Cricetulus griseus: one gene and its partners. The main gene of each other region encodes a partner of the protein of the gene in region 2 in a complex. Links are inferred from orthologs where the notes say so. Each region holds a gene or a part of one and is shown on either strand. Other genes may lie near its edges. The genes, in order: Poglut1, F7 and F3.

The links.
Region 1: the proteins of F7 (region 2) and Poglut1 are in contact, whole or in part, in a crystal structure (PDB 5L0S), measured with the Homo sapiens proteins. The link is inferred for Cricetulus griseus from reciprocal best matches to the Homo sapiens genes F7 and POGLUT1. Residues at the interface, in NP_000122.1 of Homo sapiens: Asp108, Gln109, Cys110, Ala111, Ser112, Ser113, Pro114, Cys115, Gln116, Asn117, Gly118, Gly119, Cys121, Gln126, Ser127, Tyr128, Arg139, Asn140; in NP_689518.1 of Homo sapiens: Met103, Phe104, Pro105, Ser106, Arg107, Arg132, Asp133, Pro171, Ala172, Trp174, Pro178, Thr179, Thr214, Asn239, Gln240, Ala241, Val274.
Region 3: the proteins of F7 (region 2) and F3 are in contact, whole or in part, in a crystal structure (PDB 6R2W), measured with the Homo sapiens proteins. The link is inferred for Cricetulus griseus from reciprocal best matches to the Homo sapiens genes F7 and F3. Residues at the interface, in NP_000122.1 of Homo sapiens: Leu73, Lys78, Phe91, Arg96, Leu99, Phe100, Ser103, Ser120, Lys122, Gln124, Leu125, Ile129, Cys130, Phe131, Cys132, Leu133, Pro134, Phe136, Glu137, Gly138, Arg139, Lys145, Gln148, Ile150, Val152, Asn153, Glu154; in NP_001984.1 of Homo sapiens: Thr49, Asn50, Lys52, Ile54, Glu56, Trp77, Lys78, Ser79, Lys80, Phe82, Tyr83, Glu88, Asp90, Asp93, Gly141, Gln142, Thr144, Glu162, Arg163, Thr164, Leu165, Arg167, Phe172, Tyr188, Trp190, Lys191, Ser192, Ser194, Ser195, Gly196.

What each region holds. Positions count from the first base shown.
Region 1 is NC_048597.1:51,614,835-51,618,485, reverse strand, and holds part of Poglut1 (protein O-glucosyltransferase 1), read right to left. Parts: coding exon 3,486-3,651; intron 1,879-3,485; coding exon 1,822-1,878; intron 836-1,821; coding exon 679-835; 3' UTR 1-678. UniProt on the Homo sapiens protein: Dual specificity glycosyltransferase that catalyzes the transfer of glucose and xylose from UDP-glucose and UDP-xylose, respectively, to a serine residue found in the consensus sequence of C-X-S-X-P-C.
Region 2 is NW_023276807.1:67,735,641-67,739,291, forward strand, and holds part of F7 (coagulation factor VII), read right to left. Parts: intron 1,458-3,651; coding exon 1,433-1,457; intron 1,356-1,432; coding exon 1,242-1,355; intron 503-1,241; coding exon 362-502; intron 1-361. UniProt on the Homo sapiens protein: Initiates the extrinsic pathway of blood coagulation. Serine protease that circulates in the blood in a zymogen form. Factor VII is converted to factor VIIa by factor Xa, factor XIIa, factor IXa, or thrombin by minor proteolysis.
Region 3 is NW_023276806.1:36,748,917-36,752,567, forward strand, and holds the end of F3 (tissue factor), read right to left. Parts: intron 2,201-3,651; coding exon 2,022-2,200; intron 1,291-2,021; coding exon 1,131-1,290; intron 659-1,130; coding exon 522-658; 3' UTR 300-521; downstream 1-299. UniProt on the Homo sapiens protein: Initiates blood coagulation by forming a complex with circulating factor VII or VIIa. The [TF:VIIa] complex activates factors IX or X by specific limited proteolysis.

The DNA of each region.
Region 1 (3,651 bases), on a different chromosome or scaffold from region 2:
TCTCTCTCTCTCTCTCAAGACTGCTTTCTAATGTATTAACGAATTTCTCAGGCATGAAGGCACAAAACAGGCACTTGAAATCCAACTGCGAAAATAACTCAGGCAATTGAGGCATTATAGGAACCTCCTGAGTGCCAAAGAATTTATCCTTCTACAAAAGAGAACACCAACAGCACTGCATGGCACAGCCACTGCTTCCTTAGACTCTTCAGGACATGACCATTGCAGTACTTTCACAAACCCCACAGGATTTCTACACTAAAATTAAGTAATAGACATCAAGCCTAGAATAACTTCAGAGTTGCAGATATGAATTGTACCAAATGATGGATGATGATCTGCTCCAAATAATAGGACAAAGGGCATCTTCACATGGACCCAGTCAATTTCACAGTGATGATACATGTAGATGACCTGAGGCACAAGCTGTGATTGATCATAAGAAAATGAAAGATAGGATGTAGTTCCAAATCCTTATTTCATGATTTCAAACATTCAAATAGCTGTTCATCACATACATTTTTAGGTCTTTCTCAAGAGTCCTCCCAGATACAACATGATAAGGAAAACTGAATACTAGGCTTGGCAAAGGTGTTCAAAGCATAGGTGTCACACTCATGGTATTTCACCACAGAGCATCTCAGATCCACTGCCAGGATTCCAGTCCTCTGATGATGACTACAGTTCAGTTTTCCAAAGTCTGGGAATGATCTGATCATAATCTTTCCTTCTTGTTACATTATAGGACAGGAATTTGGAGTATTCAGTCAAGAGGCTCTCCCAGTAACAGGTGATGTCATTCATGTGCAAATGGTTTATGATGAACTGGCTTCCCCTAGAGATAAGATTAACAAGAGTATATTACAGGCTTTAATAATAAGTCCACATATAGTTAGGCTACTTTATCACAAGCCTCGTTCTGAGTATTTTATTTGATTTAACTCACCAGCACCTCACAACCAACCCTGTAACTGTCATATCCATAAGCATGTATTTAGCAAGAGCACTTAACATTTGATTCTCAAAACAAGCATTATTGCCGGGTGGTGATGGTGCAAGCCTTTAATCACAGCACTTGGGAGATACTCAATGAGTTCTAGGCCATCTTGGTCTACAAAGTGAGTTCTAGGACGGTCAGGACTGTTACACAGAGAAAACCTGTCTCAAAAACAACCAACCAACCAACCAAACAAACAAAAAACCACAATCAAACAAACCAAAAAAACCCCAAGCATCATTACCAGCCAATATTCATTTTAAACACTTGTTTGTTGTTGTTTTGTCTTGGTGTGGTTTGGAGTTTTGAGACTTCTTACTCCTTCCTTCAGGCTGGCCTAGAATTCACTTCATAGCCCAGACTGTCCTGGAACTCAAAACGATCTCTTGACTCAGTCTCTCCATTGCTGGAATTATAGGTGTGAGTCACCATGTCCAGCTAAAAACATTTGTCTGAGTTCTTCAAAGACTGAAATCTAGGGCCTGGAGAGAGGGTTCAGTAGTTAAGTGTACTGCTCTTGCAAAGGGCCAGCTCATGTCCAACACTAGGGGGTCCTATGCCTCTGATCTCCTGGGCACCAGCACTGACATGCATATACCCATAAACAGACACAAATATACATACAATTTAAAAATAAATCTTCAAAAGACTGAAATCTGTTTGTATAAAACATGGAGCATTTGTGGATGTGTGTATCTGCCTTCAGCATAGCTTTAACTCTGGAGTACTTTTGTATGAAGCTGAGGTGTGGACATTATCATGTAACTCTATTTAGAAAACTTTACTACAGATGAGGCAAGAAAGGACAAATGAATAGAGCTTACCTTTTAGCAATTTCCTGAGCAATATCATCATTTGCTTTTACAAACTGCAACAGTTCCCTAAAATGACAAGAACCATGACACTGTAGAAGCTGGGGAGATGTTCAGCTGCTAATGTATTTGCCATGCAAGCACAGGGACCCGTGTTTGACACTGATACCCACATAAGAAGCCAGGCATGACGGGTTGTGCTTTTAATTCCCATGCTAGCAAAGTATTGACCAATGGATCCCTGGTGCTTGCTGGCCAGCCAGCCAATTCTAATAAGCAAGCACAAGGTTCCAGCAGGAGATTCTGTCTCAAAGAGAACAAAATGTATGGCCCCTGAAGAACAACATCTAAGGTTGACCTCTGGCCTTCATACACACACAAACACATGTGTGCCATACACAGCATGGCCTTCATACACACACACACACACACACACACACAACACACACACACACACACACACACACACACACCAGCTTTTAAAATATAGATCACATTCATTAAAACCAAGTAAAAAAAGACAACAGATAAATAGATAAATCTGTAGATATGTAGGTTGCAGATAATTTCTTTAAAGCAAAGATATTAGGGTAACTAAAGAAATAAAGATAATAGCAAAGAAAAAGACTCTATATACAAAACCAGGAGCAGTGGGACTGATGATCCCAGCACATAGGAGTTCTGTAGAAGCAAGAGGATCAGGAGCTCAAGGCCACCTCAACTATATAACAAGTTTGAAAACAGCCTAAGTTACATAAAACCGTATCTCAAAAAAGACAAAAGATGGAAAAAACTACAGGTTAAAGTCAGATTGTCACCTGTCACTATCATCAATTATACTATGTTCTAGTACATAAATTTGAGATATACTTTTGAAAAAACAAAAATGTACAACAATAATAATAAACCAAGTATGAAAAATAATTTCTGGGGCCAAAAAAATGGCTCAGGAGGTGGCAGCAACAGCGTGACAAGCCAAGTCTCCCCTGGAAACTCATGTGAAAAGCAGGATGTGGTGGCAATCTTCTGTTGTCTTAGTAGGAGACAGGCATAGGAAAATCACCAGGAAGCCCGAAGGCCAGCAAACTTGGAGGGCGCAGCACAGCTGTAGAAACAGGAGACCCTGCCTCAGCCAGGCGGAGGGCAAGGTCAGACTCCTGGAAGATGTGCTCTGACCACCACATACGTGCAGTGACAAGTGCATATGCTCTTTCACAAGTGTTTCTCCCCCCCAACACACACACACACACACACACACACACACACACACACACACACACACACACACACACACACACCTACCTTTAATTTCTACCTCGTTCCAGCCAGGAGGGAACTGGTTCACAGTTCTGGCCCTTCTCCACATCCACACCTCTTTTTGTCTCCTCCCACCATGAAAGACTCTGCCAGGGCTTCACTAAATAACAATATAACAAGGCCAAATCTATCTGCAGTTGCTGAAAGGTCAAAGCCTTTCCTTCATCTAACATTGTGTTAGAAACAGCACTGTAAATTAAAGTGCTTCAAATTCAATCCCAATTATAACACATGCCAGTACACATGTGTACAGGGGAAAAGTTCCCACTGAAAATGAAATCATCTGAGAAAACACCTGGCGTAGCTGCACTTCGGAGAGCATGGTCATATGACACTGTAAGTTGGGACTAAGAGCTTACTGGACATTGGAGAGGTCTGTTTTGACTGGGATGTAGTGAACCCATGGCTTTAACTGTGGGTAGAAGAATTCCACCCACTCATCACCAACATGGAAGACCAGCGAACCACACAGGAAGAGATGCTTGAAACGGAAACTTGCAGCTACACCTCGAAAATTAAACAGAT
Region 2 (3,651 bases):
TCAACTGTGCATCAGTGGGCAGATATGCCAGGTGTGTCTATGTGACTCCCAGGCGTGTCCTAAAGATATCCAGATTGGACATTAGAGGAGATGAAGGGCCTCTTTTCACCCCTGGCCTGACTTTAATGGGCAGGGCACTTGAGACAGTGCAGGATGCTGGCCCAGAGTTCCAAGTTAACAGCTCCCAGGCAGGGTGTCCTTCAGCTCACTGTCTTCCACCTCACAGCCATTCAGTGTCTATTAGATGCTTGCTTAGCCGGGATCTGGTCTGTTACACATCTTTGGGCTGATAACTTGCCACGGGCCAGCGAAGGTGACTGGCTCTCCAGGGTGTAAGAGCACCAGCCCTTGGGACCCATACCTTTCGGTTTGCAGGACACCCCATCTGGCTGAAGCACATAGTCCTTATGACAGCGGCAGGAGCGTTTGGTCCCTGGATGGTCAGTGCAATACTGGTCACAGCCACCATTTTCATTTGCACAGATCAGCTGGTCATTCTTGTCTGAGGACAGAAAACAGGCTGAGAGGCTGGCAGGCCAGCCATGATGGCGGTTGTCCTTGTCCCCTTGGGAGGCAGTGTGCAGCTGCAGACTATTGAGACTGAACTTGGCATCACCTGCCCTGTGGACTGATCCGGAGGGAGGAGACCTGGAGCTGGGAGCCACACATCTAAGAAGTCTCAACAGTGGCAGCCTCAGTGGCGTTTGGAGGACTCTGGGCTAGTCTGCTCTTGGCTTCTTCACAAATTTTGGTGTAACAAAATAAACATGTGTAAATCTGCAGCCAGTGGATTCTATGAGGCCCACTGAGGAACTTCTGGGGCCAGTGTGCTTTGATGGACTCTAAGCTTAACGATAGTTTGATGTTTCAGAGCTGAAGAAATACTTCACACCTTTAAACCAGCAGGCAGAGGGTGAAATACTTCATACATTTAAACCAGCAGGCGTTTAAACCAGGTGACATTCACCTGGCTGACTTGCCTGGTGGGGACAGAAGCTGAATAGTGACATAGGGACCCTTCCTCACCTCTCCGCAGATCATCAGAATCCCCAGGGTAGGGAGCCAAAAGGGACACTGAGTCTGAGACCCCAAACCTTAGACTCTCAATTTGAAGAGAGTACTTAATGTCTCCTGGACGGGTTTCCCACAGGGGCTGAGGCTGAACACCCTGGAATCAGGGACCCGGGTCCTCCCCTCCCTACTCCATCCATCTGTAAACTGAGGCAGGAAGTTGGTCTCACTCTTCTCACAGTTCCGGCCCTCAAAGTCTAGGAGGCAGAAGCAGATGTAAGACTGGAGGTGGTCCTGGCAGGTGCCCCCGTTCTGGCATGGATTCGAGGCGCATTGGTCCCCATCTGTGGGTGAGTTGGCATTAGTGTGCTGCAAAGAAGGCCCACAAGGGAGGGGCACAAATGGCTCTTCACCTACTCACCAGTGTAAACAATCCAGAACTCCTTCTGAGGGGGAAGAAGAAGCCATGTGAGGCACGCTCATGAGAAGTTGTAGCAGTTAGTGTCCATGGAGGGAGCTCAGGAGCTATGGGTGGGGCTCCTGACCTCTGTGAGGGACTTGGGAAGACAGATTCCCTCTGGCTTATCTGAGGTGGATGTTTTCTATGCCCTTTCTAGAGACATCTAAAGCCACGACACAGTAGCCTCTCTCAAGTCAGTGCACCTGAGTTCTGGCCCCAATGCGGCTCCCCCCCCCCTGCAGTGGCCTGGAACCCTAAATGTGGTAAGCATCCTTCCATGGGAGCCCTGGACTGAATAAAAAGGAAGACATGAGCTGAGCACCAGCAGACATCAGTCTCTACCTCTTGACTGAATGCACTGTGACCAGCTAGCTGCCTCGTGTTCCTGATATCACGCCTTCCCTACCTACCAAGATGGCCTTCCTCCTGAACTATGAAGCAAAATAAGCCTGTCTTTTCTTCAGTTGTTTCTTGTCAGGTATTTGGTTGTACCAATGAGAAAAGTAACTTCTGCAGGTTCCCTGTGTGAGGTGTCCTATGGGTGTGAGGACACTTGTGAAAGAGCTGTTCTATGAATGGACTGTGTCATCCTGCGTGATGTATCCTTTGAGTCTGTGAAATATCCTGTGGGAATGAGGTGTTCTGTGTGAGGTATTCTGTGTGAGGTGTTCTGTGTGAGATGTTCTGTGAGAATTTGGTATCCTGTGTGAGGTGTTCTGTGTGAGGTATTCTGTGTGAGGTGTCCTGTGTGAGGTGTTCTCTGTGAGGTTCTCTGTGTGTGGTGTTCTGTGAGAATTTGGTATCCTGTGTGAGGTGTTCTGTGTTAGGTTCTCTGTGTGTGGTGTTCTGTGAGAATGAGGTATCCTGTGTGAGGTGTGCTGTGTGAGGTGTGCTGTGTGAGGTGTGCTGTGTGAGGTATTCTGTGTGAGGTGTCCTGTGTGAGGTGTTCTGTGTGAGGTTCTCTGTGTGTGGTGTTCTGTGAGAATTTGGTATCCTGTGTGAGGTATTCTGTGTGAGGTGCTCTGTGTGAGGTGTTCTGTGAGAATGAAGTGTTCTGTGTGAGGTGTGCTGTGTGAGGTTTCCTGTGTGAGGTGCTCTGTGTGAGGTATTCTGTGAGGATGAGGTGTTCTGTGTGAGGTTCTCTGTATGAGATATCCTGTGAGAATGAAGTCCTCTGTGTGAGGTGTCCTGTGTGAGGTGTTCTGTGGGTGTAAATTCTCCTGTGTACATGAGTTTCCTGTGTGAGGCCTTTTGAGTGTGAAGCCTCCTGTGAGTGTAAGAACTTTTTCGAGAGAGGTGTTCTCTGAATGTGAGTGTGAGGTCTCCTGTGAGTGTGAAGCCTTTAGCATGAGAACTTGTGTGAGAGAGATGTTTGAGATGTGATATGAGTCAAAGCTGGTGAGAGAAAAAAAATCCCTTGGAGAATGAAAAATAAACCCCTCACAGTTACTTCAGGAATGTGATTAACTGTATTTTTCCAGCGATGATGACAAAACTAAACATGATGAACCCAGTCTCAAAGATTGTCCTATCTTGACACACCCTTCCTAGGGGAAAAAAAAAAAACACTCAAAGACAGATGTTTAACTAGAACGGAAAATGCTCAATAATGTTTAAATATGCCTCTTCTACAAAATGAAACCACAGTGCTGGGCAGGGTAGCACATACTGTAAATCCAGCAGTCAGGAGGCAGAGGCAGGAAGATAGTTTTGGAAGCTAGCCTGGGCTACATAGCAAGACCTTGCTTCAAATTAAAAGAAACAAACAAATAGAGTAACTCATAATCGAAGTACACATGGCCGTGTGGTGGAGGAAGCCACAGTGTTCTTCACATGTTCCCTAAAGGAACCACCTACTGTGGGGACAGCAGTGAGGGTTGCATGTGTGTGTGAGCAGCCCTCCCTGCTAGGGCAATCTTCCCTTCTCAGGTCAACTTCACAGGCAGCCCTAGATATTTCTGGAATAAGGATTTTCCTTTGGGAAAATAGTAGGCACATCAAGTGTGCTTTAGGAGTTATAGTTTTTTCTCTTGTAAAAATTTGCATATGGGTTTAAGTAGATGACCAGGTCAGGCACCCTGTACACTATTGCTAGGAGTCTTAGCTGGTGTCATCTGTGAGGAGAGGAGGGAGGGGAAACTGTGGTTGGTATGTAAAATAAATTTTAAAAAGTTAATTAA
Region 3 (3,651 bases), on a different chromosome or scaffold from region 2:
AGATGCCCCATGCAGAAATATACTGCATTTAACACATTAATATGAAAGTTTGCCAATTTCTTTGAACTTTCAACAGTACCTAGAAGGGGGAAAAAAAGAAACCAAATACCACTTTACAAAAGGACAGCTGTCAGAAAAGTCTACCCAATTTCCATTTTAACTGTTCTATAGCCAATGAAATCAGCTTCTTAAAGGCTCTCCCAAAAGTCCACCCCAGTTATACGAAAGGCATCTGTCCCCTGGTGACCTAGTGTCTTCCTGAGTGTAGAATAGACAATCTAAAGCATTTGTGCAAAAGACTCTGTAGTGTTAACCTGTCTGTACCCTTCAGTACACTCTAAAGTGACAAATGCTAGTGTTGGAATCAGAGTGTTGGCTGGAATATCAGGTCGCAAAGGGAACCTTTCTGTACCAGGATCATCAAGCTCTCTGCTCCATATCCTTGGTCCCCATTAGAGGTCTTGGTAACAGTGCCCTGCAGGTAGTGCAGGATTTAGAGGCTTCAGACTCCTTCCTCTCCTCTATGCTGAGCGAAGTGGGGAGTTCTCCTTCCTTTTCTGCCCTGCTCTGCCCTTTCTGTGCTTGCACAGATATATGGACAGGAAGATGACAAAGAGGATGAGCACAAACACCACTGCTCCCACAATGATGAGTGTTTCTGAAAATAAAAAATAAAAGATACAAAGTCAACTTGGAGGCTCAAATCCCATTCACAGGTGGGCATGACCCCAAACTACACCATCCTTCGTTTTTTCAACCGAAAGTCTATTTCTTTTACCCTTTCTACCACTCTTAGACTAAGAAAGAATTTACCTGGCCTCATATGCTTGAGAGAAATGACAATGGTTAAGCATTAAATGAACCACTCCGTGTTCCTGGCTAGAGAAGACTGTGACTTGGTACTTAAGTCTGAATTGCATACACAGTGCCCCATAGAATTTGACCCATTGCAATTGCCTAGGGAAGTGCTTGCTAACTAAGGGAACCATGTGGAATCATTTCTAAATTTTCCCAAAGAGAACTCAAAAAGAAACCCTAAAACACCCTAAGGTGGCTTCTCCCTGGTGTTTGATCCAAAGAGATACATGTTGTCTCTGCTGTGGGGCAGCCAATCCTCCATGGACACTTACCTCCCATTATACTCTCCCATTCGTCCGAGCACTCGGTGTCGCTTTGTGGGCTCTGCTGGTCATCTTTCCTGGAGTTAATCAGAGCTTGTACAGAGAAGCAGTAGCTTACTGGTTGATCCACAAGAATGGAGAAATCATTAGTTTTTGTATTGGCTTGCTTCTGTGAAAAGATAAAGAGTTCTTCTTATTCCATCTAGACTCAGAGTGAATTCTTTCCCCTTATTTAGTCACTGGGGAGGGTGAAACCTGAGCTCTAAGCAAAATCTATGCAGACATCATTGACATAGGATGACTAGAAGTTACTTGGCTAATCAGTAACTCCTGATAACTGTTAAAGATACCTTTGCCAAGGCTGAAAAGATACAACTTAGGTACATCTGACTCAGTTCAGCCCCCCCTTTTTTTCTGTAGGAAAAAAAAGAACCACTGAAGAGGGGACATTTGGGGGCCAGGGATGTAACTCATTGATAGAGAACTTGTCTAGTGTACAAGGCCCTGGATAACAACCCAAGCATCACAAAGTAGCACAAGCGCTCACGAGAGAGAGAGAGAGAGAGAGAGAGAGAGAGAGAGAGAGAGAGATTAGTTAATAAGTCATTTCCCCCTCTGGGAACCCCAGTGAGGATGTGGGAGAGGACAGGAGCCTTGGAGATGATCTGGTCCAGCTCTTTGGTTGAGAAACTGGAATCTCTGAAAGGACCTGCCCAAGGGCACAAGGCAACTAACTCAAAAGTGACAAGAGAATGAGGACCTGTCATCCATACCGCCATGTCAACCCCTACTCCTATATTTGAACTAGGAAACCCCTATATTTGAACTAGGAAAGAAGTGGGCTGTGGAGAATCAAGGTTCTATAAAACAAGGAATAAAAATGAATGAAAAATTTCTCACCTTTCCTGAGCTTGAGTCTCTCCAATAAAGAAGTTTATAACTCAAATCCTTGCCAAAAACCTCCCGCAAGGTGAGGAATGTGCCGTTCCTTCGGACCGCTGTTTGTGTGTCTTCTACCGTCACATTCAGCTGGGTATCCTTTTGTTTAAAATGCTTAATTACTGGCTGTCCAAGTTTTGCTGGAATGGGAAAAAAAAACAAATTATCTTTGTTGGACATTAGAATCAATACAAAGAAAAGATCACTGAGTTGTCGTTAACTGACAACTCCTCCATGGCTCATATAGAACATCTGTACTGAATCAGCTCCAGTAGCAGGAGTGGTGGGATCCTAGAGCTGAGTTCCAAGACAGCATGCAGCAATGCCATCCTCTGGAAACATAGGAGAGCTTTCCTTACAACCATCAGAAAATGTGAAAAGGAGCTGGTGGAATTAATCTTAATAATAAACTTTAACAGGTTCATTGGTAGACTAGCATTTTAGCATGCAATCAATATAAATACTTCATGTATATTTTGCATTTTTCAAAAACTGGCGTATGTTTCATCTTGGCAGTATTAGCAGTATTTCTAGAGTCTGGTTGCCATGTGTGTGGATGGTTGCTACCAGGCTGGATGATGCAGTTTTACAAGCGTCCATATTTTAGCTAAAATAAATTAGGGGCTGGGAAGCCCAAGAAGTGTCCCTGGTCCACCAAGGAATCCATTTTAAGCTATTTCTGGTTCAGTTCCCTCATGTGCTCCAGTTATGTGATGATCAAATAAGTCCCCACCCTTTGCAGTGTGTGTGTGTGTGTGTGTGTGTGTGTGTGTGTGTGTGTGTGTGTGTGTGAGCATGTATGTTCTGTCATGTACCAAAAGGAGTTGGTCTGGATTATTGAAAGCTCAAGAACTACAAAGGATAATCATGGCTCGGGCCATGAGACCGTCAGTGAGCCTGCATGAGATGAAGGTGTCATGCAGAAACAAACATACGGGGGAAAAACACAAAGGAGTCTGAAGAGAGAGGCTTGTCAACCAATGGAGACCCTAGGAAGAAGGCCACATTCACCTGGGTAATTAGCCCATGAGAGCAGATATCAGACATAAAATTCTGGTCAATTGTCCCTCACCCTTCTCACCATCCATGTTACAGAGCTGTCAAAGGGGTACAGATAGGAACATCAAGAATCCAACACTTTACTTTGAGTCAGCAGGGCTTGCAGAAGTAGTAGAGTTCATTCAGTCTCCCTAATATGCTGCGTGTGCTCACGAAATGTCAGCTTCTGAATCACAGTCCCACACCCACCACCACCCCCAAAAAGTCTCCTACTTGGCAGGAATTCTTTGCATTCCCTTATTAGATGGCAGACTAGCACACTGGCACAAAGGTAGGGAAGAAAGTATGCCACACGCTCAAACCCAGCTAGAGGGAGGCTGGCTCAGAGCTGGCGCACACTGGCTCATCTCAGGAGCAAATGAAGCTCAGCTGGTTGAGGAACCAATTACCTATTTACAGGTACAAGCAAGCTTCCCTGTGGATCTGGGTTTGTTTGGGGACAATCCTCAACTAGGACCTCTAATCTGAAGGGATAGAAAATCCATGTGTGACATGTATCCTGACAGTGTATCCCAAGGAAAAGCCACAGCCC